Stegostoma tigrinum: one gene and its partners. The protein of the gene in region 4 binds, or shares a complex with, the protein of the main gene of each other region. Links are inferred from orthologs where the notes say so. Each region holds a gene or a part of one and is shown on either strand. Other genes may lie near its edges. The genes, in order: gtf2a1, gtf2h5, polr2h and gtf2f2a.

Region 1 (7,794 bases), on a different chromosome or scaffold from region 4:
GCAACACAAATGGATAAGTTAGTCAAGAAGGCATACTGCACACTTGCCTTCATTGGTCAGTGCATTGAATATAAAAGTTGACAAGTTACGTTACAGCAGTATAAAACTTTAATTAGGCCACATTTGGAATATTGCATGCAGTTCTGGTTGCCACACTACCAGAAGGACATTGATGCTTTGGAGAGGGTGCAGAGAAGGTTTATCAGGATGTTGCCTGGTCTGGAGGGGTTTAGTTATGAGGAGAGGTTGGATAAACATGAAAGATGGAGGCTGAGGGGTAGCCTGACAGCCGGATATAAGGTATATCCCTTATAAAAGGGATAGATAGCGTGGATAGTCAGATACTTTTTCCCAGGGAGGAAAGGTCAATTACAAGAGGGCACAGGTTCAAGGTGAGAGGGGGTAAGTTTAGGGGAGCAGAGTAGGGAAAATTTTTCACACAGAGGGTGGTGGTTGCCTGGAACACACTGGCGGTGGAGGTGGTGGAAGCACTGTTTAAGATTAGCATTGTTTAAGGCATATCTTGATAGACACATGAACGGGAAGTGAACAGAGGTATAGAAAAGACTTATGGCCAATAAGAAGTGGGTCCAAATAAGGATTAGGAACTGATGCAGAGATAGTAAGAACTGCAGATGCTGGAGTCAGAAATAACAGAGTTTGGAGCTGGAGGAACACAGCAGGCCAGGCAGTTTCAGGTCAGGACCCTGCTTCAGAAATGGGGAGGGAGAAGGGAATTCAGAAATAAATAGAGAGGAGGCGTGGGGCGGGGGAAGAGGCCAGGGGTAGGCAAAATTTTGAAACTGGTAAATGGCCTAAATGTGGGTTTTACCAGTTTCAAAATTTCCCCATCCACCAAACTCGTTGCATGTCCACCCCTCCCTTCCTCCCCGCCTCCTTGACCTGACCAACCTGTCCATCTTCTCTCCCACCTGTCCGCCCCTCCCGCCTCACTGACCAATCCCCACCACTCCCTACCGGCACTCACCTATCACCATCCTACCTACCTTCCCAGCCCCACACCTCCTCTCTATTTATTTCTGAGCTTGCTTTTCCCTCCCCATTTCTGAAGAAGGATCCTGACCCAAAATGTCAACTTTTCTACTCCTCTGGTTATGCCTGGCTTGCTGTATTCCTCCAGCTCCACACTGTGTTATCTAGGAATTGATGGAGGCTCGGTGGACCGAAGGGCCTGGTCCTGTGCTATAATGTGTTGTGCTGTAGGCTGGTCCAGAAGATCAAATCACATGGAATCCATTGAGTTACCAAACTGGATACAAAATTAGCTTGGCCATAGAATACAAAGGGCAGTAATGGAGGAGTGTTTTTCTGACTGGAGGTCTGCAACCAGTAACGTTCCTCAAGAATCAGTCTGAGACCTCTGTTGTTTGTGATATAAATAAACAATGTGAATGAAAATGTCAGTGGTCTGATTATAGATTTGCAGATGACATGAAACTATTTGAGTTATGGATAGTGAGGAAGGATATCAAAGGATGCAGCAGAATATAGATCAGCTGGAAAGTTGAGCTAAGAAATGGCAGATGGAGTATAATCCCGAGGAGTACGATGTGATATATTTTCAGAGGTCAAATGAATGATAAAAGTATACAGTAAATGGTTGGACCCTTAGGTGCTTTGATATGCAGAGGGTTGTTGTGGTACAACTCCATAGTTCCTTGTCAGTGGCAACACAAGTGGATAAGGTGGTAAATAAAGCATATGGCATGTTGCCTTCATTGTTCAGGGTATTAATTATAAAAGTTGGCAAGTCATGTTGTACTTTATAAGACTTTGGTCAGGCCACATTTGGAGTACTGTGCACAGTTCTGGTTACCACAATACAGGAAGGACATGGACGCTTTGGAGAGTGTACAGAAGAGGTTTACCAGGATTGGAGTTTATGAGCTAGAAGGAGGCTGCCCAAACTTGGATTGTTTCCGCTAGAACCTCAGAGGCAACCTGATAGAAATATATAAAATTATGAGCAGTGTGGATAGAGAGAATTATTGGAATCTCTTTTCCAGCATGGAAATGTCAAATACAAGAGGACATAAGTTGAAAGTGAGAGGGATAAAGTTTAAGGGAAGTATTAAGGAAATTGCGCCTTGTAGATGGTGCTCAGGCTTTGGGGAATCAGGAGGTGAATCCTGCAATATTCCTAGTCACTGCCTGTTGTTTTAGCCACTGCACTTATATTTTAATTAATCTGATTTGACGTTAGAATTGGAATTAGGTTTACTGTAACATGTACTCAAGTTGAGGGATGTATGAATATGCATGAACAGGGATATGGAAAAGACCTACGGCCAATAAGAAATGGGTCCAAATAAGGGTTAGAAATTGATGCAGAGATAGTAAGAACTGCAAAAGTGAAAAGTATACAAATTTGCCATTTCCAGTCCATCTTAGGTACAAAAATACCTAGGTATAAAATGTTAGGTATAAACTAGAAAAATAAAGAAACAAAGTTCAGCAATACAGTTTTTCTAAAGGAGGGAGTCCATGCTGGGCATCAGCTCAAGGCCGGGAGTCCAATGCTGGGCTTCCGCGAGGCCAAGAGTCTCCTGAGTCCATGCTGGCTCAATTCTCCACCACCGATGCCATCTGAAAAATGGAGGTAAATACAGACAAAAGGAAAAAGATGAAAAGCCACGGACTTAGGAGCCATCTTGAAGGCACTGGTAATAGGTGTGAAAGAGAAGTAAAGTTGTAAATTGAGGTGTTCAGATCTACAGCAAGCTAAAACACATTAATGGGAGGTGATGGCTGAGTGGTATTATTGCTAAATAATCAATCTGGGTAACTAGGTCATGTTCTAGGGACTTGGGCTTAAAACCTGCCGTAGGCAGGTGGTGGAGGTGATAATGGGAACTGCAGATGCTGGAGAATCCAAGATAATAAAATGTGAGGCTGGATGAACACAGCAGGCCCAGCAGCATCTCAGGAGCACAAAAGCTGACGTTTCGGGCCTAGACCCTTTCTGATGAAGGTTCTAGGCCCGAAACGTCAGCTTTTGTGCTCCTGAAATGCTGCTGAGCCTGCTGTGTTCATCCAGCCTCACATTTTATTATCGTGGTAGGTGGTGGAACTTGAATTCAATGAAAATCCAGAACTAAAAATCTAATGATCTTGATTGTCACAAAAAAATACTCATCTGGTTCACTCATGTCCCTTAGGGGAGGAAATCTCCCATCCTTTCTTGGCCTGGCCTGCTGACTCCAGATCTAAAGCAATGTGGGTAAGTATGGGCACTGAAAGCTGGCCTAGCCAGCTATGTCTACATACTATGAATAAATTTTAGAAAAAACTCAGTGAGGAGAGGGGTGGAACATGATTTTTTTTGACCTCTTATCATGATCTTATTTGTTGGTGGAGCAGACTTTACGGACTGAATCTGCTCCTCTGGCAAAGGCAATGACCCATCAGTTTTACCATTTTAATTAAAAGCTTGAATTCAAAGACTAATGATGACCAGTGAAACCACTGTCAAAAAAACTATTTAGTTCACTAATGCCCTTTTAGTGAAGGAAATCTGCCATCCTTACCTGGTTTGGCCTATATGTGACTCCAGGCCCACAGCAATGTGGTTGATTCTTGACTGTTCTCTGGGGCAGAGCAGCTGGGGCTCAACAATGAATGCTGACCCACCTAGAGACGCATTCATCCCGTGTATGAAGTTTAATAAAAAGTTAATGTTTTCCTGGGGAAGGGAGTGCACAATTCAAGGTGCAAGCATGGTTTCTATAGTCTGTCTTGGTGAAAGAAATGTTCAAGAGATTTATTGATCGATTTGATTTATTGTCACATGTATTTTGTTACAAAACACAATGAAAAGAGTTGCGTAGCGTCACCACTCTCCGGCACCATCTTAAAACGCAGAAAGATGAATCATAACGTGGAATATAAAGGTGGAAAAATGAAGAAATGAAGTTCAACTTTGTAGTCCGTCTTGTTGAGTGCTTAGCCATGGGCATGTACCCTCGCCGTGCTGCCAGAACATGAATCGCCACTCTTCGATGTCATCTTGCCTCCACCAACACTGCTGCCACAATTAATCCTCACCATGTCCCATACCAGGCCAAACTCAACTCCACCACTGCCAAGAGCCTGCTCTGGGCCCAGGTCTGCCTCCACCACTGCCTCCACGAGTCTGTGCTGGACACAGATGCCATGGGCAACACAAATTTCACCTCCACCCATGGTTTAGGTGGCATGGTGGCTCAGTGGTGAGCACTGCTGCCTCACAGCTCCAGGGACAGGGGTTAAATCCCAGCACTGGGGGCCCTGTGGGGTTTGCATGTTCTCCCCATGTCTGCGTGGGTTTCCTTCAGGTGCTCTGTGCCTCGCACAATCCAAAGATGGGTAGATTAGGTGGGCTGACTTTTCCAAATTTGCCCACGGTGTCTGGGCGGGCCAGCCATGGGAAATGCAGCGACAGAGCGGGCTGAATCTGGTGGGTGGGGGAGATGGGATGCTCTTCGATGGGCCCAAAGGCCTACTTTCCGCAACCGGGGGTGGGGGGGGAAGGGGGGGTGAATTCGATGGTGGTTTGTTGTTGTGGAAATCCAGGGTTAAACATGGCAGCGGCAGGAGAGCGGGAACGGAAATACTACAACTCCCGGCATGCCCGGCGGAGGTAGCAGGACCCGGATGTGTCCGTGGGTACTCTCGCGAGATGAGGGCGGTGGGGTTTGGTTTGTTGGTTGGGTGCGGGGGCGGGGGAGCGAAGACAAGCGCTGACGCAGCGCCTCATTTGCCGGACCCTCCCTATAGCGGCAATTGAAGCTCCATTCGGCAGTATATAAGCGCTCGCTGGAAGAGGACGGACGGCTTTCCCAAGCCCGCTTCAGGCAGCACCGCCAAAAATCAATTTTAATCGCTTTTATTTTTGTTTTAAAAAAAAATCTTTTTCTTGACCAAAAAACAAACCACCTCATCTGGATATTTCATTTAAATTCTCCTCCGTATCCACATGGCGAGTTCGGCCAACTCAAACCCGGTGGTAAGATTTTTTTGTGTGTTGAGTGTGGTTGTTTTTTTAAATCCTCCGAAATAAAAGAGACTTTAAGATGGGAACCATTTTATATATTTTTAAAAAAATTATATCTATGCTCTTCATTAAAATCTGCTTTTTCCACTCCCGAGGATGAAAACAATTTTTTCTCTCTACTTTTTTATTTTAAGAAAAACCAAACGTGAAAAGTAATGTTTTGCTTTTGTTTTCTGTCTGGGGAAATTTTGAAGCAAAATTCAGCAAAGCGGAAAACTTGTTGGCATTTGAAAAGGGGGGGAAGGAACAAAAACTTCCCTTTTTTTAAAAGGAAAACAAGATTTGACTCCCTTTCTCAACATTTTTAAAAATAATTAGCGGAGCAAAGCAAGCCATATCTTGGACAAACTGACTGGATTTTTGTCAGGAGCTGTGGCTGGAGTTTTAGTTTTTACAAGCAGATTTTTTGAGGGGGGGTGGTGAGGGAGAAAACACTTCCCTCCTTTCTCTCCTGTAAAAATTTCTTTTGTCTGGACTAGTAACTACATTTTTAAGCTGAGGTGCTTTCTAAAGTGGCTTGGGAAAGAAATGGAGTGGGGGAGAAAGTGGTGGGTGAATGGTTCAATTTTTGGGTTGCACATCAAAATGAATGGTAATTTTTTTTAAATAAAAAGTTGAATTCATGAGGTGGTTTCACCTGGAAAAATCACAATTCAAGAACTGCTTTTGCTAATTGTGTGTCAAGTTTGAAACTAAGAAAAGTGCTAAGGTTTTCTTTTGGTAAGCTGTCAGGATATTACAGGCTCATGTCTGATTTAAGTTTTAGCTTTTAAAAACTTGTACTTTTGAAGGTAAATATATAACCTTTATTTTACAAAAGGAATAAAACTGAAACACCAACACACCCCTGCTGATCCCTCTAGAGAAACAGATGGAGCCTGCACTATTTGCTGATGAACCATTTTGTTTTCTGGCTGACTTTTTACAAATTTTTGTGTTGTTGGTCTGAAGGAGGCACGAGATGCTTTCCTTTCCCTGTTTCAGGGCCCCTAAGACTTTGGTTTTAGTCCTGTCCCCCTTCCTTTTGTGGCCAATCTGGTGAATCGGTCTCTCTGCTCCATAAGCTAATGTTTTGTGGAGGGTGGCCTGTTGTTTGTGCCTTCCTTCCCCTTGCTTCTGTCTTTCCTCCCCCTCCTAGATGGTCTCCTCTATTATAATCTCGGTTGCACGGTGGGGATGTGCTTGCCAGCTCTACGTCATGAGGAGGGGGGGGGGGTCCCCTTTGCATATGAGGTCAGACTGCAAGGGCTGTGCAAGAAAGCAGGGAGAGAGGGAGGCTTAACAGCAGCTGTGAGGCCCAAGGGTAAACTGCCTGCTTAAGTATGTTCCCTTGATCGGTTTTAGGCTGTGACTTATCTACCTTCTTTCTGACAAACCTTCTGCCCTCCACCCTTATCCCTGGTCCCCTCACTGTTTTTCTGTTCTGTCAGAGGCTGTGAGCTTTCCTTCAACGGTGAGCTCCTGCAGGCTTGGCTATGCTGTAGTGTTCTTTCTGAGAATGTGAATTCAGACTGCAAGCAGCATCTTTTATAGATCAGGGTGTTTTTCTTTGCATTTGTAATTCAACCAAGATGTGTGTAACTATTTTATTAAAACCACAATACTTCTGATACTGAAAATCTGAAGCAAATGCATTTGCCAATTCAGTTTTTTACTCCAGTGCAATGTTGACAACTCATTATCAGGAATGACCCTTTTTCTAAAAGTAGATGAATATTTGTAACAGTGGTTGCTGTGGTTGAATTTACATAGTCCATGATGGCAGGTAAGGGCAACCCAGTGGAATGAATTGGATAGCTCTTCCTCAAAGCACTAGTAAAGGAAAAATGGACCAAATGGCATTTCTCACTTGATTTCAGCATTACTGGTACGTGATGAAGTTCCATTTTAGAGAATATTTAGAACTCTGTCTTGGTGGGAATCATCATCTTATTTATACATTTGTGTAGCATTAAGCAAAAAGTTCTTAGCTTGTATTCATCTAAATGGTTAGACTTGTATGGTTATTTCAAAATGTCATCTTTAAATTTCTTTAAATTCTTGGCATTTTCAGAAGTCTTGCAATTTAAACAGTTCTTAATATTTGAGCAGGGAAATGTTAACTTCCCAATACAAGTGTCGGAGCTGTGAGGAAGAATAGAAGTAGATCAGTGTCTTGGCCTATTTCTACTGTTTAATTAGGCCAAGCTGAGTGGAGGCAATCTTTACTCTTTTAAAATTTTGCCCAGCAAGGATGTCAATTGACCCAGCATTCCTGACACTTTGAAGATTAGATTTCCAGTATCCTTTGTGGAAAATTTGCTTTCTGATGTTTGTTCTGACTGACATAGCTCTCATTTAAGATTATGGACTTTTCCCAGCAAACAAAATGGCTTCTCTCTACACAATTGCCTCAGTTATTTGAAATGTCTTGATTTAGCAGTTCACAACCATCTAAACATGAGACTACAAGCCAATGTTGTGAAACTTGTCATGATGTCTCTGGGTGTAGTAGGTCAATTTGTACACTTCAGAAGCAAGTTTTGAGGTCTATAATTGCATATGCTACTCCAGATAAGAACTAATCAAACTCTGTCAAACAGAAGCACTGCTTCCTCACTTTTGAATTCCACTTGCTGTTGGATAAAGGGCAACATGTGCTAACTAAGTTAGTAAGAACTGCAGATGCTGGAGGATCACAGGCCAGGCAGCATTGTAGGATCAGGAAAGCTGATATTTCTGGTTGGGACTCTTCTTCAGAA
Region 2 (6,842 bases), on a different chromosome or scaffold from region 4:
ATGAGTGGTAAGACCAAGTGTAACAGGCACCTTGGCACTTTAGGAATGTATGATAAACAAGGTCTTTGTCTAAAGCAGATCATCTTGGAATTCAAGTACTATCTATGTGACTTACAATGTATGAATATCTAATTAATCCTCATTGAGTTAGAATGCTATCTTGGAATCTTTCCTTGGGCAGACCGTCCCAGCACTGGATCAATGTATGATCATTGACCTCTACCTCAACAATGCCCTCGGATGAAATACATCAGGACCTGGGAACTTTGTTCTTGGCTTTATTAATAAGGGCATAGAGTACAAGAGCAGGGAGATGATGTTGAACTTGTGCAAAACACTTGTTAAACATCAGCTGGTGTATTGTATATGTTTGTGGGCACATTACAGGAATAGTGTGATTGCATTGGAGAGAGTGCAAAAATGATTTATATGAATGATCATAGAATCCCTACAGTATGGAAACAGGCCCTTCAGCCCAACAAGTCCACACCGACCCTTGGAGCATCTTACCCGACTCATCCCCCAATAACCCACCTAATCTACACTTCCATGCACACTATGGGCAATTTAGCATGGCCAGTCCACCCAGTCGGCACATTTTTGGACTGTGGGAGGAAACCAGAGCACTTGGAGGAAGCCCACACAGACACAGGGAGAATATGCAAACTCCACACAGGTAGTTGCCAAGGGTGGAATCAAACCTGAGTCCCTGGCACTGTGAGGCAGCAGTGCTAACCACTGAGTCACTGTGTCACCCCATGGATGGTTCAAAGAATGAGATATTTCAGTTCTGAGGATAGGGTGAAGAGGTTGGGACTGTTCTCGTTGGAAAGATAAGGCGGGAGAAGATTTGATAGAGGTTTGCAAAATCATGATCAGTGGGGAGAAGCTGTTCCTTCTGAAAAAAAGTAAAAAAAAATGAGTGGGCATAGATTTAAAGTGATTTAATTGAACTGGCACAGGCATGATGGGGCTGAATGGCTTCCGTATTTATCCTAGGTTGCTCCGGGAAGCGAGAAAGGAGGTTGCTAAGCCGCTGGCAAAGACCTTTGCTTCCTCACTCTCCACGGGAGTCACACCGGAAGATTGGAGGGAGGCAAATGTTGTTCCTCTTTTCAAGAAAGGGAATAGGGAAATCCCTGGAAAATACAGACCAGTCAGTCTTATGTCTATGGTCAGCAAGGTTTTGGAAAGAATTCTGAGGGATAGGATTTATGACTATTTGGAAAAGCATAGCGTGATTAAACGGAGTCAGCATGGTTTTGTGAGGGGAAGGTCATGCCTTACCAATATTATTGAGTTCTTTGAGGAAGTCACGAGACAGGTTGATGAGGGTCGAGCAATGGATGTGGTGTACATGGACTTCAGCAAGGCATTTGATAAAGTTCCCCACGGCAGGCTCATGCATAAAGTCAGGAGGTATGGGATACAGGGTGATTTGGCTGTCTGGATTCAGAATTGGTTGGCTGACAGGAGGCAGAGAGTGGTTGTAGATGGTAAGTATTCTGCCTGGAGGTCACTGCTGAGTGGTGTCCCGCAGGGCTCTGTTCTTGGGCCTCTGCTCTTTGTAGTTTTTATAAATGACTTGGATGAAGAGGTTGTGGGGTGGGTTAGTATGTTTGCTGATGACACAAAGGTTGGAGGTGCCATTGATAGTATGCCGGCGATTGCAGGCATCAGCAGGACATTGACAGAATGCAGAGCTGGGCTGAGAAATGGCAGATGGAGTTCAACCTGGATAAATGCGAAGTGATGCACTTTGGAAGGTCGAACTTAAATGCTGAATACAGGATTAAAGGCAGGATTCTCGGCAGTGTGGAGGAACAGCGAGATCTTGGTGTTCAAGTGCATAGTTCCCTCAAAGTTGCCACCCAGGTGGATAAGGTTGTTAAGAAAGCATATGGTGTTTTGGCTTTCATTAACAGGGGGATCGGGTTTAAGAGCCGTGAGGTTATGCTGCAGCTCTACAAAACCCTGGTGAGACCACACTTCGAATATTGTGTCCAGTTCTGGTTGCCCTATTATAGGAAAGATGTGGAGGCTTTGGAGAGGGTGCAAAGGAGGTTTACCAGGATGCTGCCTGGACTGGAGGGCTTGTCTTACGAGGAGAGGTTGACTGAGCTCGGACTTTTCTCTCTGGAGAGAAGGAGGAAGAGAGGCGACCTGATCGAGGTGTACAAGGTAATGAGAGGCATGGATAGAGTCGATAGCCAGAGACTTTTCCCCAGGGCAGGATTGACTGCCATGAGGGTTCATAGTTTTAAGGTGTTAGGAGGAAGGTATAGAGGAGACGTCAGAGGGAGGTTCTTCACCCAGAGAGTTGTGAGCGCATGGAATAGTTTGCCAGTGGTAGTCGTGGAAGCGGAGTCATTAGTGACATTTAAGCGACTGCTGGACATGCACATGGACAGCAGTGAATTGAAGGGAATGTAGGTAAGGTTATTTTGTTTTTGGATTAGGATTATTCCACGGCACAACATCGTGGGCCGAAGGGCCTGTACTGTGCTGTACTTTTCTATGTAACAGTGCTGTGAATTTATGAATTTGTCAGCCTGCAGCTCCATCAGTTTGTTCATTACTACTTCCCTGGTGATTGTAACTTCACCAAATTGGTCTCTTCCTTCAGTTATGATCCTAGTTGATTTTATTATTGGACAAGTCAGATCTCAGTCAGGACCCTAGCTGAGATCATATTTTTATTTGTTGTGATCCTTTAACAATAAAATATATAGCAAATTCAAATATTTTAAATACCCAGTAAAAGTATAACCCAATAAGTCCCAACATATTATTTTATAAATTGAAAAGAAATGAAACAACTACTGTGTAATACCAAACACACCACTGCTACAGGTCCCAAACATGCTTCACATAATACTCACACTACAGTCCCTGTACCAGATTTAAGTCACATATGACTTCAATTTTTCTGGAATAAGATGTAGCTATTTTCATACCTGCGTTTCACTGGACTTATTTTAAGTAACCTTGTCAAGGTTTTTATCCCAACGCTTCTGGTCTGGGACTAAAAATGACTTTTCTCTCCAATCTAATCCACAGTATCTACCATTCTCTTCTCAGGAAGATGCTCAGATCTACATTGGATTGATTCATATCAGAGGCACAGTAACACTGTATTAGTCTGAGTCAGAGTTGCACTGTACTCATAAATCTGGTTGAGCAGTAGTAGGGTGACTAGAAGTAACAGCAGCAGGACAATCCTTAAAAATTGGGACAATTACCCAGAACTTCCGACTATCCTTAACTGTAAATGTCAGGGAGAACAATTTTATCTTTATACAATTAATCTATCTTGGAGTATACTTGATCTGTCTCTCGGTTATTAATCACATATCAAGCCAACTTTGCTGACTTCACAGGTTCCATGTTTTGCGAAACGTCTTAGCTGACATGTCCTTCAGTGGAATATGAGAATCCTTTATCAGAATACTAACTCATTGCTTGCACTAACTGTCATGCCTCCAACTCTCCTTGGTGCATATTTGGGTGAATTTTAACCATCAACCCTGGAGTCGATGTGTAGCACAGAAAGGGGAGGCCACTGAAACAGTGGCTTGAGGTTCCCTAATCACACTTTTAGAAACAAACATTGAATGTACTTTTCCAGCTGCCCACGTACTGTGGAAAGATATCCTGTTACTTTGGCACACTGACCAAATCAGTCATGCGTGATACAGCATACCAGACGTGTACGTATGACAAGACAATTCAATTTGAGATAATATAACAAACCGTTTGGAGGGAAATTTGCGGACAAAAAATAAACACATTTCCACAAGGAGGCTGGGACTTAAACGACTCCGACTCCGAACTGAAACGCTATATAACCCCTCTAATCATTTCGGTGCAACTCTGACCCAATGTGGTGTCATTTTGTTCGAGGTGCCGTTAACTGATTGGTCATGTTTGAATTGCGTGTGTTATCCCAGATCGCTTAGCGCTGCGAGAGAAGAAATGGTTGTTCCGTAGAGATCAGGTTTGAGTATTGAATCTTTTCTCCCCCCCCACCTTTTAAATTGTAAAACTTATGCATATGTGTTTTCGTAATGCTAATCCTTACTTGACCATGTTAATAATGGTGTGCTGTCTCGAGAAATGTCCCGCCTCCAACTGATGTTTCTTTTATATTGTATGGTAGGTTTGAGTTTTTTTCTCGGGGGGCGTGAAGGCGCCCATCACGGATCTGGCCTGATCTACGGTAATTAGCACTTTTCCACTTCATCTTACTTGGATGACAAGAATTAGTCACGCAGCACAGAAACAGGCCTTTCGGTCCACCATGTTTGTGCTGACTAACAAACATCAAACTGTACTAACAGAAGTTGCTAGAGATAAGAGATTGCTCGAAGTTCCTTCCTCAGAGGAAGAGTCACTGGACCCGGAACGTTAACCCTGATTTTTTTTCCTTCACAGATGCTGCCAGGCCTGTTGAGATTTTCCAGCAACTTCTGTTTTTGTCACTGATTTACAGCATCTGCAGTTCTTTCGGTTTTTACCAAACCACAGTAATCCTGTTTACCTGTATTTAGTGCACTACTGTGCCCTGGCATTTTAAGTGCCACATGCTTCTTAGGTGTTGCAAGAGTATCTGCTTCTGCTGCCCCCTCAGACACCGCGTTCCTTATTTCTACAACCCTCTGGGTGAAAATGTTTTTCTTCCGATCTCTTCTAAACAACTTGTTCCTCACCTTTAATTTTAAGCGTTCTGGTCTTAGACATGTATGCTGCAGGGAAAAGATTCTTAAGATTCTATATATCTTGTCTGCCTGTGCTTCTTATAATTTTGTATACCTCAATCAGATATCTTCTCTGCTCCAAGAAAACGAAACCCAGTCTTCCCTTACAACTGAGACTTTTCATCCGAGGCAACATCCTGATGAATCTCCTCTGTACCCACTCTACTGCAATCACATCTGCCCCATTGTGTAGCAAACAACATGGTATTCTGTTTGCGGCATAACAAAGTTGTAGCAAGACTTCCTTGCTACTATATTCTATGCCCCAGCTAATGAAGGCAAACATCATGAATGCTTTCTTCATCACCGTGTCCAGCTGTGCTGACACCTTTACGGACTTGAACACCAAAGTCCTTTTGTCCCTCAGTTCACTTGATAGTAAATTTAAGTGCGACTATTGGAATGATGACTGCAGAAGTAGAGCATCAAGTTAAGTGCCAGAAAGACACTGGTGTTATGTATATGTTTTCTAATCAACCTGTTAATAGATATTAGACACCTCTGGAATAGGTGGGCCTTAAATCTAGGCTGCCTGGCTCAAAGGCAAGAACATTACCGTTGTATCAAGAAGGCAAAATGAAGCCATCGAAGGCCAAGTTGAGACTATTTGATGGGACGGTACTCCACTCAATATCCAAACAATATCCACTCATACCAGCTGAAAAAGTTTTTAAGCATGGTTTGGTAACCTTGGTTTCACTGACCAGATCCTAAAGGAAAATGTTTCGACAGGTCTTTGTCACCCTGGTAAATAATTTGAAATAGATGAACAGGCGAGACCAGCTCAGCATCTGGAGAGATCTGGCTGCTCTCAAGTCCACCTGAAAATCAAGAGAAGTTGAAAAAGGAGTAATGAATCAAGGACGAGGCAACTCAGACAGATTGACTTGCAAAGTGATAGCAGTGAAATAACCTGGAAGGACTTCAATAAAACCTTGAAGAGATCTTACTACTGCCTGCTAACCATTGAAGATATTTCGTCATAATTTGTGAAGGCAAAGATCTTTACTATTCTCCTTGTGGTGGATACTAGCAAGTGAAGTTGGATGAATTCAGAAACTCTTGTGATGTTTGAGAAGTACCTGCAATTTGGAATTTCAGCTTCTTCAGAAGATCATCGCCACACAATGAGACAGCTGTTGACTTTTCTAGAGTGGAAGTGATTGGCGTTATCTGCTGGTCTGTTGATGTGTTGAAATGACAGAGGCCGTTGCACACCACATTCTTCTCAGTGCTGGAGAGTTCACCAGATGAAATTGAATCTGGACAAGAAAAGAAAACAGTTCAAGGTGCCTAAATTCAGATATGAGATTCACGTACTGACAGCAGTGGAATTGTCCCTGATAACATTGAGAATTGTAGTAGAGGTGTTTTAATTTAAAGTTCAGTAGTACAGGACTTGAGCTTTTCTGAAAAACTTTGTCTTGCACACATTAAGATAGCTTGCAAGAAATATTAATTTGTAAGGGAGCAACTACTTTATTGTATGAGAAGTGTGCTGATTGGTACAGGTGTTGCCATGGGGAATACACCAGTTAGGTGGTGATTGACAGGTAACTCCGGTTTTGTGTAATTTATTTAAACCAGGCAGGCTGACTCTGATTCGACTGGGAAATGAAGGAGAGAATAGCTGTTGCCTGTTTAATTGCGTTGAAAAAGGTGCTGTATGTGCTCATGTTCATTCAGTCTGCAAAGTCTGTAGCACACAAGTGGCTGCGCTATGCAGAGCTGTTGGGGGAGTAAAGAAGAGGAGAGAAGAGAGAATAGTGATACAAAATTCTGTCATGAGGGAAGCAGATGTTTCTGTAGCCGGTGTGTGGTAAAGGATGTCACTGAGTGGTTCTAGGATATTCCGAAGGGGTAAAATGAACAACCAGAGAGTATGGTTCATGTCCATGTCTACGAACACAAGTTAAAAGGGTGTATGATAAGCAGAATGTAAGGAGCTAGGAGTTAAATTCAAAAACAGGGCCTCAAGGGTAGTAATTTGGGGACTACTCCCAGGGCTGCATGGCAGTATGTTTAGAAATAGGAGAGATGGTGCAGGAGGGAAGATTTTAGATTTCTGAGGCATTAGGTATGATT
Region 3 (7,060 bases), on a different chromosome or scaffold from region 4:
CATTTTCAAACTCGAGCATTATAGCAATGTTGATTCAGCTGGATTGTAACTGAATCTGAAGTTTATTACAGAGTAACTACAAAAATGTGTATTAATTGTAATTCTTACCAAGTTCAACAGGGTAAATCTGTATATTTACATCAAGAATCAGGTCCATTTTAAAGGATTCACTTTCACAATGTAAGCGAGAAACTGTAAAAATGACACAGAAGTTCTATTATATGCCCAAAGGTATCTAAATATTGCTTTTACTGATCAGTTTATCAGAACTATCATTCACAATCAAACACTATCTTTTTGTAAGAGTAATATCTTGTTAAGATTGCATATTTATTGTCAATTAATTTTTTTTGTATTATAGTATATTCTCCCTCATTAAAAATACACAAGATTCACACCAGCCCAAAGGGCAACAAATTAATTCAAGCAGAAAAGCCAAATTTAGGCAAGAGTATATTTTGTTCATCATATTTTAAAATTGTTATGCATTATTACTTAGCATGGAAGCAAACATGGAGGTGCAGTATATTTAGTGCAGTGTACAAAGACTTCAAGGAGTATTTGACAAGATGTCACGTGAAAGAATATTAAAGGAGATAACCGAGCTTTGAATGAGGGGAGAAGATAAAAAAAAATTGGTCAAAAGGAGAACTGTAGGAGTTGGGGAAGTTTGGATCATTCTGGTAAAGGCTTAGTGGTATTTTTCATAGTACAACTGTGGATGCACTTATCTTCACTGCATTTATCGATGAACTGGATGTAGGAATAGAGAAAGCAGTGTCACATTTGCACATTGAAAAAAATCCTATTTTGAATTAAACAGACTAAAAGGAACATATTATGCAATGTTGTTAAATTGGAGAATGTATGAAAAATTGGCAGGTAGAACACAACAACATGCATTTAAACAACATTGTTAATTTGGGAAAGCATACCAGCATTAACAAAATTTGGCACCGGCCACATCAGAAGACAGTAAGTTGGACAATCAAAAGATTGGTCAGAGTCATGTTTTGGAAGCATCCTAAAGGATAAATGAGAGCTAGAAGACAGAGGGAGATTTAGAAAGAGAACTCTTGAGCAAAACGTAAGGCGCAACCACAAATGAAGTAATTACAAGATAATATTTGGTTTAGAAGGGGTGGACGCTTGGAAGTTGTTTCCGTTAGGCGGGGAGACTAGGACCCGTGGGCACAGCCTTAGAATTAGAGGGTGTAAAATTAAAACTGAAATGAGACGACACTTCTTCAGCCAGAGAGTGTTGGGCTTGTGAAATTCATTGCCGCAGAGTGCAGTGGAGGTCGGGACGTTGGATGCCTTCAAGGCAGAGATCGACAAATTCTTGACCTCAAAAGGAATCAAGGGCTATGGGGAGAGTGCAGGGAAGTGGAGTTGAAATGCCCATCAGCCATGATTTAAATGGCGGAGTGGACTTGATGGGCCGAATGGCCTTACTTCCACTCCTTTGTCTTATGTTCTAAAATCAGGGAAGCTCAAAAGGCCAGAAATGAAGAAATGCAGGCATCTCAAAGGGTTAAAATTACAGTGTTCAGGATGAGTAGGCTAAGGATCTGAAAAGAAGGATGTGAATTTTAAAATCAAGGCATTGCTGAAACAGCAAACAAAGTAGGTCAGTGAGGACAAGAATGATATGAAAAAAAGAATTCTGTGCAAGTTAGGCCACAAGCAATAGAAGTGATTTCAAGTTCACAGAGGACAGAATATGGGAAGTCAAATAGGAAGCCTTCTCACTAATCAAATTCTAAGGTAACAAAGTTATGAATAAGAATTTAAAATGCAGATGAATTTAGGCAGATAATCGCAAAGCATGAAGTGATGCATTCTAGTTAAAAAACAAAATTATTTTTCAAACAGAAGTTGTTTTGTTGTTGAGGAAGTGCAGAAAGATGTAAGAGTATTATGGCTCCACAGCTAATTAAAAGCAGCACATCAGTAAAAGCAAATTATAATGGAAATTTAAGTTTTTCCATACAAGATATATTGTAAATAAAGCAATAGGTACTAATGTCAATTGTATATAAGTGATAACAAGTCATTAATGCCCATGAGAAAATACAAAGGTTTAAAAATTGGATACTGGCTTGATAGGACACATATTTGATGCAATACAATATTAATTTAAAATTATTAAAGAGTGAAGCATGTTTTTTGAAGCTTTTTCCACCAATTTAATGGAACGGTACCTGTCCTGTGTCTATTTTCTACAGCAGAAGCTGAATTACAGTAAGTAGAAACAACCTAATTAATAAAGACTATTCTTCATGAGGAATATTATTGGAATCCAAATGCAAAAGAAGTTTTTTTTTTATTTGTTTCGAGGCTGTGGGAATTCAATTCCAGCCACATTCATGGTTGGGGAAGGGCCACATGCGTGTTGAGACTGAATAGTGAAAGTAGAACAGTGAATAAAACGGTCGGTGTAATAACATCCCTGAACAGCTTGATTAGAAAATTAGGTTTAATTAAAAAAAATGTAAGGATAAGAACAGGAGGTGTAAATATGATCTGAATTATTGCCTGCTATGGAAGCAGTTTGGGTTTGCTCGGTCCGAAATGGGGCTTTTGCAACTTTCCACAATTGCAGGAAAACACATATACAACATCACAGGAATTGGTCGTAGGAGTAAATCAATGAACTAGATACTAGTATTAAACGAAGCACTGGAAGACTGTAAAAAATGCTAGTTAGAAGTGGAGGACGAAAGCTGAATCACTCTATTCCCTTCCCTATGTTGGACATGAACTGCCTGAACCCATTCATTTGGGGAACTCGAACACCCAGGAAGCAAAGGCAGCAGGTCTCATCTCTTTCCCTTACCTCTGTCAAACTTTACACCTTCCGGGTCAATATCCTTCACATCAAAGATATCCTCAAATAAAATTCCTGCCATCCTTGTACAAATAAAATTACTGTTAACTTCTAGCAAACACAAGCAAGAGAATTTCAAACTACTGCCAAACAGGCCACGACAAATCTCTCGGAGTATGCCGGGATACTGGCAGACCTTCCCTGCCTCCCAGTAGATTGGCAGCAGCTCTATGTGAGTATATGACCGCAGTTCCGCCATCTTTAATCAAGGCATTGCTTTGTGTTTCAGTACATGGGGTTTACTGAAAGGTTCTTTCTCCTAAACGTAAATAAACAAGCTTAGTTCTTTTAGGTCTTTATATTTTGAACAGTTTCTTAAACGTTGATGGAAACATATGAAAAATACGACAGGCACTGTAAATCTGAAACTTATAAATTGTTTGGGACTTCTCTGGGTCTGTTAGCCAGCTATGGATTCAGAAATAGCATTAACGGGCTGTCTCTTCGTGCGGCCTTCAAGACCAAGTCCACACTTGCTAGTAACCAAGGCTGGGCTCAGCATTCTTCCTGGAAGCAGCATCCACCCACATTTGTCCACCGCCTGCAACATTCACTCATTCCACCAACACGCAATAAAAGCAGTATATGCCGTCTACAAGATGTACTGCTGCATCTTGCCAAGTTTTTTTGGACCAAAACTTCTCCCTGTGACCCAGCAGGACAAAGTCAACAGGCACATATGAGAACATCACAATCTACAATTTCCCTTCCAAGTCACGCCATCCGAACGAGGAAATATGTCATGTTTCTTCACTGTGGCTGGGACAATATCCAAGAACTTCTGTACTGTGGGTGTGCTGACGACACACAGACTGCTCTCAGACAAATAGCCAGGCCATAAATGCTGGCCTTGACAGCATTCTTCACATCCTATGGAGTAATAAGATGATGAATATAACTGGTTTCCTTGCCAGCTTCACCACATTGAGCTGTCAAATTGAAGAGTCAGTGGAAAAACTGTTGCCATTGCTCCTCAAGTCTTTCCTGGTGAAAAATTTCAGCTGTCCAGCTTCAGGCTTTGCCTAAACAGAATCAGAGCTTGCCTTTCCTGTTTTGGGTGTCAGTACAGACACATTCCACTGGGATAAGTGATTACCAACTGAAAGCTTAGTGAAAGCTCCAGCACTGAAATCCATATCTAAGAATTGAGGAAGTTCTGAGCAAGTGGAAAATACACCACTTCTCCTAGAGACTGTGGTGAAAGGTGTCATTGACAGTTGAAGAGGTGGCAACTATATGAAAGTTGAAAGCCTCAAGCAAAGTTTTTGGAGTATGAAAGTGCTTGATTACAGGTTTTTGTGGGAATTGTCTCCAACTCTGCTATAATGCTTAGTACCAACTTCATATAGTTAATGGTTAACGAGTTTTGAGAAGATTTGTAGCTCAGGTTGAGGTTCTGGATGTGAGTTTGCTCGCTGAGCTGGAAGGTTAGTTTTCAGACGTTTCGTCACCATTCTAGGTAACATCATCAGTGAGCCTCCGACGAAGCGCTGGTGTTATGTCCCGCTTTCTATTTATCTGGTTAGGTTTCCTTGGGTTGGTGATGTCATTTCCTGTTCTTTTTCTCAGGGGATGGTAGATTTAATCCCAACCCAAGGAAACCTAACCAGATAAATAGAAAGCGGGACATAACACCAGCGCTTCGTCGGAGGCTCACTGATGATGTTACCTAGAATGGTGACGAAACGTCTGAAAACTAACCTTCCAGCTCAGCGAGCAAACTCACATCCAGTTAATGGTTAATGCTGGAACTTTGAGAGTCAATGCAGCACTTGAATAGTTCCTCCAATAGGAGGCAGTCAGCAAACTTTCAGCATTTTACCTTGATGAACGCCAAGGTTTTTGCTCAGAAGGCTCTCTTAGGTTACAAAATTTGGTAGCTTCTAACCTGTCCCGAGTCTGATTCTGAGGTGTTGTACAATCTTGTTAATGTCATTCTACCAGTTATCAGGCTGAGAATTGTGCCAGCGGACCCAAAATGCAACACAAGGGTGCTTGGTGTCAGCCAAGATGCAGCTGCTACTACGTTTCCAGGCATCAGTGCCAACCCATGCTCTGTCTCTCCTACAGCAAGAAAAACATCCTGTCTTTGTGGGATACTGCAAGAGGTATTTCTCTTGCATCAGCCTTAACAAAGTAACAATAAAAGTAAAATACTGTGGATTAAGGAAATCTGAAATAAACACAGAAAATGCAGGAGAAACTCAGCTGGACTATCAGCATCTGTGGGCAGAAGCAGAGTTAGTATTTTGAGCCTGGCTATGCCTCTTCTTCAGAACTATAAATAAAACTGATGAATTGTCCTAATTCTGGACAAGAGCAGGAAGCAACACCAAAGGCATCATCAATACATCAGAGATAGAATTGTGAGTGGGAGCCTGAGTACAACTGGAAAAAGGAATGATTCCAAACACTACATTAGAGAGATGGCCAAATCCGAGGCCCGTGCAAGTATCAATGAGCTTCACCTTTGACTTGCAGTAAATCAGATGAGTTAAAGGAAACGTTGTTCAAAGTGAGAACAAGCTCAGCCAGGTGAAGTATGATGGTATTAGCTTCTTTTCAAGGGAGAAAATGGAGAGCCTTCAGACCATCCTGATGGGGGATGGCTTTGCTAAGGCCTTTAATGCCCATGGTGAAGAAGAGGTGGCTAGGACCATCATTATAGAACCAACATAAAGCATCAGAGGAATCATGAATGGAAGTTGAAAGACACTTAACAAGGAAGGGTAAAAATAGAGTCAAAATAAGAAGAAATAAGTTCAGTGGAGTAAGAACAGGCTAAAATGATGGGCCTGCCTCGGCAGTCCTGATTGTGGATTTTGAAAAGCGGGTTATACGTGGCTGGGGGCCTATGAATTGGGAGCTGTGAAGGAGAGATCTCTGAAGGAGATGAGGTCAGTGATAGTCCTGGAGACTACAGCCCGATGTTCAATGATCAATGTCAGGTCATGATCCAGGGGGAGATAGGAGGAAGTGTCTGAGAGTTGGCACTCTGCCAGGTACTAGTTAGCATGGCAGATGACAGCCACTCAACCGTTATTGATAGTTTTGATAACAAGACCTGAGAGAACGGAGTTCAGCAAGTTCAGAGGGAGATAGATGTGAGTGGGTGAAGGGATTAGAGAAATTAAGGTGGCCAGTGTCACACCAGCAGTTCTCAATGAAGAAATGAAGAGCTTGCAAAAGACCAGACAGAGGAGTCCAGGTGGAGGGGATGCATTGGAGATAGGGGAAACAGCCTTTGTGGCTGGGAGAGGATTCCTGTCCAGGGTCATGGGCACAGAGACAAAGACAACAAAAGAAGAGTTTAGCACCATGTTGTGCCTGAAATTCATTAAGCTGGTTACGTCCCTTGCTAAGCACAGTTCATTCAGCATCAGAGAGGGGAACATAGGAGTTAGGAGTATGAGTAGGCAATTCAGCCCTTCAGGCCTGCTCCACCATTTAAAATGATCATGGCTGATCTTATCCTGGTCTCAATGCCGCTTTCCTGCCTGCTTCACAGTTCCCTTTCTCCCGCTTTTCATCACAAACAGTACTATTTTTTTCTTGAATTTGTTAATTGATTCTGCCTTCACTGCAATCTGGAGCAATGAGTTTCACAGAATCACAACCCTATGAGAGAAGTAGTTTCCCCCATCTCAATTTTGAACTTACCTGCTCCCATGCTATATCTATGACCTATTGTTCGAGACTGTCCCACAAGAAGGAACATACATCCAACGTCCACCTTATTAGTCCGCTTTAGCATTTTATATACCTCAGTCAAATCCCACCTCATTCTTTTGAACTCCAGTGAGAAGAAGCCGCAGCTATTCAACCACTCCTTGTATGACAGCCCTTTCATCCCTGGAGTCAACTTGGTGAACCTCTTCTGAACTGTCTCCAGTGCCACTACATTCTTTCTTGAGCAAGAAGACCAAAGCTGGACACAACACTCCAAATGTGTTCTCACTAACACCTCATATAATTGTAACAGCACTTCTTTACTTTTATAATCTAGTCCTCCTGCAGCAAATGCTGGGATTCCATTTGCTTTTCTTGTTATATGCTGCACCTGCATACCCACTTTCTGTGATTCATGCAGAAGCACACTCAGATGCCGCTGCACTGATGCACTTTGGATGTGCTTCCCAATTAAATAATAATTTGCCCTCTTATTTGTCG
Region 4 (7,549 bases):
TAACCTCAAAGTTCAAGATATTTCATGTCTCCAGTAAACCCTTTAGATACTATTTTGTATTTGTAGCCCCCTATTTCACACTCTCCCATAAGTGTTACACATCCTCTTCACACGTATCCTGTCTAACCCACTCATTCTGAAGACCTTAATGAGGTCACCTATAAGTCTTATTTTCAAAAGAAAAAGAAAAACCCAGTCAGTTTAATCTGAAAAGGAAATCTTCTCAATCTGATGTCAGAACATCAAACAACAATATAATGCAGGAAGCAAATTCTACATTTAGCTTTACATTCCATTTAAGCCTGCAAATAAAACTGTCAGGAACAATTTTTTCTAAAACGTTCAGCAATTAGTAAGAAACGATCTCCTCTCAAGATCTGACATTTAGATAGTAATGCAAAGATCTACTATTAATATTTCCAATATCATTCATGATGATCACAATGAGTCATAATGATGCTCATTTGTACCAGAAACACTTAATCAAGCCATCTACAGTATATACCAGCAGATGCTAATCCCATAGCATTACTCATGACAAGATAGGTGTCAAGTGTTGTGAAAGGGCTGAGGCATAAAATGCAAAGAACAATACTTTACAATCCAGGTTAAGTTTTAAGGTCATAAGCTTTCAGCAGTTGTTGAACAAACATTACAGGAGTTTGTTCTTAAATAGAACGGCTATTCAGGCTGTGCAGGACACTCCTGGGTTTATCCCATCATGCCACTCCACCAGGTGTAAGAGATAAATCTGCTGTTTTTGAACAGTACACAAATCTGGGGGTGACAGATAGGAGATAGCTGGCAAAAATACCTTTCAATTGTATTTCCTTCCTTGCATTCTCTTACCTCAGTTTTTCCTTGATTCCTGTTAAATAGAAAGAGGAAGCAGATTAGTTTCATGCTCACCACTTTACCATTTAAAAACCACATTTGTCAGCCTCTGACAGCTACTCTGGTGACAGAATAAAGGTCACTTACTTGGCTATCCTTATTTTTCCGACTTCACCTCTTCCTGTTGCTTTAGCCCATTGCTGAGAAAGGTATTTGGGGACCTACAGACATGTGTAATACAAACAGTTATTTACGGTAAGCATGAAGGCCAAAAATAAAACACAGTTTGCTTATGTAATAGCCAGCATTATCATTTTTGTTAATTTTTTCTGAGGAGTGATAGCTCAAAGTAGGGAATCAGATTCTCCTGCAGAGCCCAGTGCAGGTGAAAAAGTGAGCACAAGGGAGAGTGGGAAAGCTGGGCTGCACAAAAGAGAAAATAAAAATGTGTCAGTACAGGAAGTCAAACTTCAAAAACTGACCAGACGCTGCATATGGAGCTATTTCAGATTGCAAAGAGGAGCACTTTGGTAAACAAAAAAATCATATTTTATTATTTTAAAGGACATGATGAACAGGGGTAATATACCCCCAGTGATTCTTTGTGCAGAGATTCACTTTAGGACCTCAAAGAAATTGATGTCTGACATCTACACATAACATATTATGGATTTTTCTGGATTATAAAATCTGTCCAGACTGTGTCCCAACAGTCATAAGAATTTAAAATATTTGAATTAACATTTTTGATAATACAAACTCTCAATAAAGCAACTAGCTAACGACCAGGTTTTTCAATTATAATCACTGTATGAAAAACACTTCATAACTAATCAGTTAAATAACATTTAGTGCATCAAGCGTGAGTTCTATAAATTAATGCTGTACAAATAAGATGGATATGAACTGTTCAAAAGATTTTAGAATATACCAACAAGGCCTGTCATACTCTGCTTTGAACAGTGTTTTACAAAAGGAGGTGAGTAATGAAGAGACAGGGATTCTAACAGTTAGCAATGAAAGAGGGATATCCTAAGTTTTAACACATCTGTTAAACTACCCTAAGATGTGGCAGACCCAAAACAGTGGCTCCATAGCTCAGCAGCATACAGGTTGCGTTGCTGACTCACCAACACTCAGGAGAAGAGGAAATTGGAGTGCTAAGTTATTGCAGTATTGTCATGGGGTTCCTGCTTTCAATGGTATTTCAGCAAGGGTCTGCCTTTGAAGACAGAGAAGGTGAATGGGATTACCAAACTGGGCCAACTCAAAAGAAACCCGAGAGATATTTTCACAAGGACGGAGAAAAGAGTATTTGTATTTTAGGTATAGACAGTGAATACTTGAGTAAAGGAGACAGGAATGATTGGCAACCTAGCTATGTGAGGCCCTTTGAGGAAGTATGATCATAATGTTATATAGAATTCTTTACTTAGATGGAAGGTGTAGTAGGTGACTCAGATTCGGATCCTGAATCCAAATGAGGTTAGGGTGGTATGAGGTGCGAACTGGCTATGATAAATCAAGGAATGTTACTTAAAGGGATGATGGTGGATAAGCAATGGCAAATATTAAAACAGCACATGGGTGAACTGTCACAACTGTACACTCCTGTCCGGGACAAAAATAAAATGGGAAATGTGGCTCAACCATGGCTAATAAGCGAAATTAGGGATAGCATTAGATCCAAAGAAGGGGCATACAAATTAATCAAAAAAGTAGATGCGTGGATTGGGGGGAAGTTTAGATTTCAGCAAAGATGGATAGAGGGATTGATTAAGGGGGAGAATGGGGTTTGAGAGTAAGCTTGTGGGGAACATGCAAACTAAATATAAAAGCTTCTATAGGTGCATGAAGAGGAAAGGAGGTGGGAAGCCAAATGTACCCCTTACGGTCAGAAACAGGATAATTTATAATGGGAAACAAAGAGATGGCAGACCAGTTAAATACATATAGTTCTGATCTCACAAAGATGGGCACAGATAATATCCCAAAAACGTTGGGAAACTTTAGTCAAAGGGAGCAACTGAACAAAACTAGTTTTAGTAGGGAAATCGTGTTGGGGAAATTGATAGGATTAAAGGCAGATAAATCCCCAAGGCCTGATAATTTACATCCCACACAGTACTTAATGAAGTGGTCCTGGGAATAGTGGGTGCATTGATGGTCATCTTTCAAGATTGTTTAGACTCTGTGGAACAGTTTCTATATGTTAGAAGGTAGTTAACTGTGACCCTGTTAGTTTAAAAAGGCGATTGAGAGAAAACAGAGAATTATAGGCCATTAGGCTAAATATTGGTAGTGGGGAAAATACTGTTATCCTTCTAAGATTTAGAGCAGAGCAACTGGAAAACAGAGGCCAGATTGGGCAGAGTCAGCATGAATTATGAAAAGAAAATCAGTTGCTAAGGGGAAGAGTGTGGATGGGCTTACTTGGACTTTCAGAAGGCTTTCAATAGATGTACCTAAGAGATTAGCATGCAAAATGAAAGTGCGAGGGATTAAGGGTAGTTTAGATTAGAAAAGATTCCCTACAGTGCGGAAACAGGCCCTTCAGCCCAACAAGTCCATACCGCCCCTTGAAGCATCCCACCCAGACCCATTCTCCTACAACCCACACACCCCTGAACACTATGGGCAATTTAGCATCACCGATCCACCTAGCCTGCACATCTTTGGATTGTGGGAGGAAACCGGAGCACCCGGAGGAAACCCATGCAGACACGGGGAGAATGTACAAACTCCACACAGACAGTTGCCCAAGGCTGGAATTGAACCCAGGTCCCTGGCGCTATGAGGCTGCAGTGCTAGCCACTGAGCCATACTGACATGGGAATGGAGAACTGTTTGGCAGGAAACAGTCAGAATAAATGGGTGTTTTACCCAAAAAGCAGGCAGTAAGTAGGGAGGTGCTGCAACAGTCAGTGCTTGGGCCCCAGCTATTCCCAACATATATTAATACTTTAGAGAAGGGAACTAAATGTAATATCTCCAAGTTTGTAGATCACACAGGACAGGTGGGAGGGCGAGCTGTGAGGACAACACAGAGATGCTTCAGTGTGATTTGGACAAGTGGAGTGAATGGGCAAATTCAAGGCAGGTGAAGTATAATGTGGAAAAAGCGAGGGTAACATTTTGATAAACAAAAACAAGGCCGCAGATTATTATCTTAATGGTGATAGGTTGGGAAACACGAAGTTATGTTGAGACCTCAGTGTCCTAGTGCACTAACTGCTGAAGGAAAGCATGCAAACAGTGACGGCAGCACATAGTATGTTGGCCTTCATAGTGACAGGGTTTGAGTACAGGAGCAGGGATGTCCTGTTACGATTCTATATGGAGAGACCACACCGGGATCATTTTGTGGAGTTTGGGTCTCTGGCTTTGGAGGGGGTGCAATGCAAGTTTATGAGCCTATTCCTGGGATGGCAGGACTGATGCATTAAGAGAGACTGGATTGGTCAGGTTTACAAGCACTAGCAGTTTGAAGAATGAGGGGCATCTCAAAGAAACCTATAACATTCCAAGAGGAATATACAGGGTAAATGCAAGAAGGATGTTCCCAATGACCAGTGAGGTCACAGTTTAAAGATTCAGGATAGGCCATTTAGGACTGTGATGAAGGAAAATTTCTTTATTCAGAGAGTGGTGAACCTGTAGAATTCACTGCCACAAAAACTGGTGAAAGCCAAAATACTGAATGTTTTCGGGAATGAGTCAGATATGGTTCTTTTTGCTAAAGGGCTATCAAGGGATATGGGGAGAAAGCGGTTACAGGGTATGGAGTTGGATAATCAGTCATGATTCTATTGAATAGCGCAGCAGGCTCAAAGGGCTGAATGGCCTGCTCCTATTCTCTATGTTTTTAAAACACATGGCAGCATATGTGAATAATCATATATATGCATCTTCTTTACATTAAAAACAAATCGCGCTTTACATTCTTTCCAATGCGGACACAGGGGAGTGGCAGTGAAAGGTCGGTGGATATTTGTGAAAGGAATGCCCAAAGTTTCCAATGAAAATGAAGCAAGTCCAAGTGTTTTTAAATTGGGTCCTGGAAAATAAGTATTTCCTGTAACAACTGCAGTTGCATGAAAACATACTATGTGCACAAGAATGTTAATGCCGTTCTATTCCCGTCTGTTTATTCCTGAATTAGATTCAGAAAAAAAAGTTGCATCTTTCATGCAGACCTTCAACTCAAGGAACTTCAAATTCCTCACCCAGTTTTTCAATTGTTTTGTACAAGGAAAATATTACAGAGGTCAAAAATATAATACAACGTCCTAATTTTTGAGTTCTTAACATGAATAGAACCACAGATTTTCTAATTATCCATCTGCCCCCTTCTGTGATTAAAATTAAACAACTGATAGAATCAATGTGGAAATTTAGTTGGGTAGAAGAACATGCAAATTAAATTCCTATCTTACTTTCTAATCACTTGGAAAGTACTCAACAAGTACTTTGAGCAACTTGACTTGTTTACTTTCCCTGGTTTTTTTTTGATTACTGCTTTGCATTTACAGATCTTCTGAACAGACTGAATTTTATTCCTGCTCTACATACTGGTTGATTGGTACAGTGCATACCTGTTATGAATGCAAAATTGGAGCTAGTGAAGATGAAGTGTGACTCAGAAATGAGAAAGGAGGTTACCAAGTGTGACTGGTAAGAGCATGCACAGCAACAATAATTATGCAGCACCTTTCTGTACCCTCATCAACAAGAGAGACGTCTCCATGCCGGCGCTGCTTCACGCTGATATGATTGTTTGCAACTATGGCATCCTGGTCAGAGCTGAGTAAACCTCAAATTGAATTACCTGCCTCTTTCTCTACTGCAGCCCATATGGCACTTCTTTCTCAATTTTTCCCTCCAGCCTCAATGAGCCGCAAAGTTCTCCTCTTTGACTTACATCCTCCAAAAATCACTCTGTATAAGAAAAACAAATGCCCCTCATGCCCTTTTTAAATTTTTCTCCTCTCACCTTAAGAATACGCCTCTTAGTTTTCAACTCCTAGGGCAAGGAATTTTGCTATTCACCTTATGTATGCCCCTCATTATTTTATAAACCTCTAAGGTCGCCTCTCAGCCACCTACACTCCAGAGAAAAAAAGTCCCAGCCTATTTTTATAACTCAAACCCTCCATTCCCACCAACATCCTGGTACTTTTTTTTCTGAACACTCTCCAATTTAATATCCTTCCTGAAGCAGGGTGACCAGAACTGTACTCCAGAAAAAGGCCTCTCCAACATCCCATACAATCACAAAATGACGCCCCAAATCCTATACTCAAAGATCTAACCACGAAGGCAAGCGTGCCAAATGCCTTCTTTAGCATCCAGTCTACCTGTGATGCCAAATTCAACCTGAACCTCTAGGTCTCTCTATTCGACAACACTTCCCAAGGGGCTACTTTTAATAGTATAAGTCCTGCTCTTTTTTGTTTTACTAAAAAGGCAACACCTCACATTTATCCGAATTAAACTCCACCTGCCACCTCTCAGCCCACTGACCCAATCAATCAAGATCTCTTGGTAATCTTAGATACCCTTCCTTACCGCCCACTAAGCCATTAATTTTGGTGTCATCCTCAAACTTAATCGCAATATCTTCTATATTCTCATCACAGGTACCATATTTCTTAAATTGTAAAACTAATATTTGTTTGGCAAGGGACAGGATAAACAGAGTGTGTAAGAGACTTACAGTTATCTGGAACTCTCTCTCCCAGGGTCTCCTCCAGAACGTTCAACTGGGGCATCATTCAGGACAACCTTAATGTCACACCAAGTTCTACTCACTATCTCTACTCACCTACATTGGCTACTGGTCACAATGCTTTAGATTTTAAATGCTCATTTCTAAAATCTTCCATAACCTTTGGTTCCCCCTAGCTCTAAACTCCTCCATTCCTATCACCCACTTCTCTTGCCTGCTGTACATCCACTTCTCTCTCTCTGCAGGCACCAGTACTTGTCACTTCTGAGTATAGGAGTTAGGAACGTCATGCTGAGGTCGTACAGCACATTGGTGAGGTCTCTTCTGGAGTTCTGTGTCCAGTTCTGGTCGCCTTGTTATAGGAAAGATATTATTAAGCTGGAAAGGGTTCAGAAAAGATTTACCAGCATGTTACCAGGAATGGAGGGTTTAAGTTTTGGGGAGAGGCTCACGTATTTATCCAAACGTCTTTTAAAGGTTGTAACTGTACCCATATCTACCACTTCCTCTGGAAGTTCATTCCACATAGGAACCACTCTCTGTGTAAACAAAATGTTGGCCCTCATGTCCTTTTTAAACCTTTCTCCTCTCACCTTAAAAATATGCCCACTAGCCTTGTAATCCCCCACCCTGGGGAAAAGACACCTCCCATTCACTGGACTTTTTCCACTGGAGTGTAGAAGGCTGAGGGGTGACCCTATGAAGGTTTATAAAATCATATGAGGTATAGATAAGGTGAATGGGAGATGTCTTTTCCCCAGGGTGGGGGATTTCAAGGCTAGGGGGCATATTTTTAAGGTAAGAGGAGAAAGGATTAAAAAGGACATGAGGGCCAACATTTTGTTTACACAGAGAGTGGTTCCTATGTGGAATTAACTTCCAGAGGAAGTGGTAGATACGGGTAGTTACAACATTTAAAAGGCATTTGGATAAATACATGAATAAGAAATCCATGGAGGGATGTGAGCCAGGCACCGGCAGGTGGGA

Evidence for each region.
Region 1: gtf2f2a (region 4) and gtf2a1 share a complex: the UniProt entries of both Homo sapiens proteins name them as parts of the TBP-based Pol II pre-initiation complex. The link is inferred for Stegostoma tigrinum from reciprocal best matches to the Homo sapiens genes GTF2F2 and GTF2A1.
Region 2: gtf2f2a (region 4) and gtf2h5 share a complex: the UniProt entries of both Homo sapiens proteins name them as parts of the TBP-based Pol II pre-initiation complex. The link is inferred for Stegostoma tigrinum from reciprocal best matches to the Homo sapiens genes GTF2F2 and GTF2H5.
Region 3: gtf2f2a (region 4) and polr2h share a complex: the UniProt entries of both Homo sapiens proteins name them as parts of the TBP-based Pol II pre-initiation complex. The link is inferred for Stegostoma tigrinum from reciprocal best matches to the Homo sapiens genes GTF2F2 and POLR2H.

The regions. Positions count from the first base shown.
Region 1 is NC_081363.1:9,877,330-9,885,123, forward strand, and holds the start of gtf2a1 (transcription initiation factor IIA subunit 1), read left to right. Parts: upstream 1-4,791; 5' UTR 4,792-4,975; coding exon 4,976-5,005; intron 5,006-5,625; exon of another isoform or gene 5,626-5,642; coding exon of another isoform or gene 5,643-5,645; intron 5,646-7,794. UniProt on the Homo sapiens protein: TFIIA is a component of the transcription machinery of RNA polymerase II and plays an important role in transcriptional activation. TFIIA in a complex with TBP mediates transcriptional activity.
Region 2 is NC_081362.1:31,606,047-31,612,888, forward strand, and holds the start of gtf2h5 (general transcription factor IIH subunit 5), read left to right. Parts: upstream 1-3,835; 5' UTR 3,836-3,997; intron 3,998-4,159; 5' UTR 4,160-4,219; intron 4,220-6,842. UniProt on the Homo sapiens protein: Component of the general transcription and DNA repair factor IIH (TFIIH) core complex, which is involved in general and transcription-coupled nucleotide excision repair (NER) of damaged DNA and, when complexed to CAK, in RNA transcription by RNA polymerase II.
Region 3 is NC_081367.1:41,069,220-41,076,279, forward strand, and holds the start of polr2h (DNA-directed RNA polymerases I, II, and III subunit RPABC3), read right to left. Parts: upstream 3,021-7,060; 5' UTR 2,913-3,020; coding exon 2,840-2,912; intron 193-2,839; coding exon 109-192; intron 1-108. UniProt on the Homo sapiens protein: DNA-dependent RNA polymerase catalyzes the transcription of DNA into RNA using the four ribonucleoside triphosphates as substrates.
Region 4 is NC_081365.1:74,518,662-74,526,210, forward strand, and holds the start of gtf2f2a (general transcription factor IIF subunit 2), read right to left. Parts: upstream 3,006-7,549; coding exon 2,949-3,005; intron 1,056-2,948; coding exon 982-1,055; intron 869-981; coding exon 850-868; intron 1-849. UniProt on the Homo sapiens protein: TFIIF is a general transcription initiation factor that binds to RNA polymerase II and helps to recruit it to the initiation complex in collaboration with TFIIB.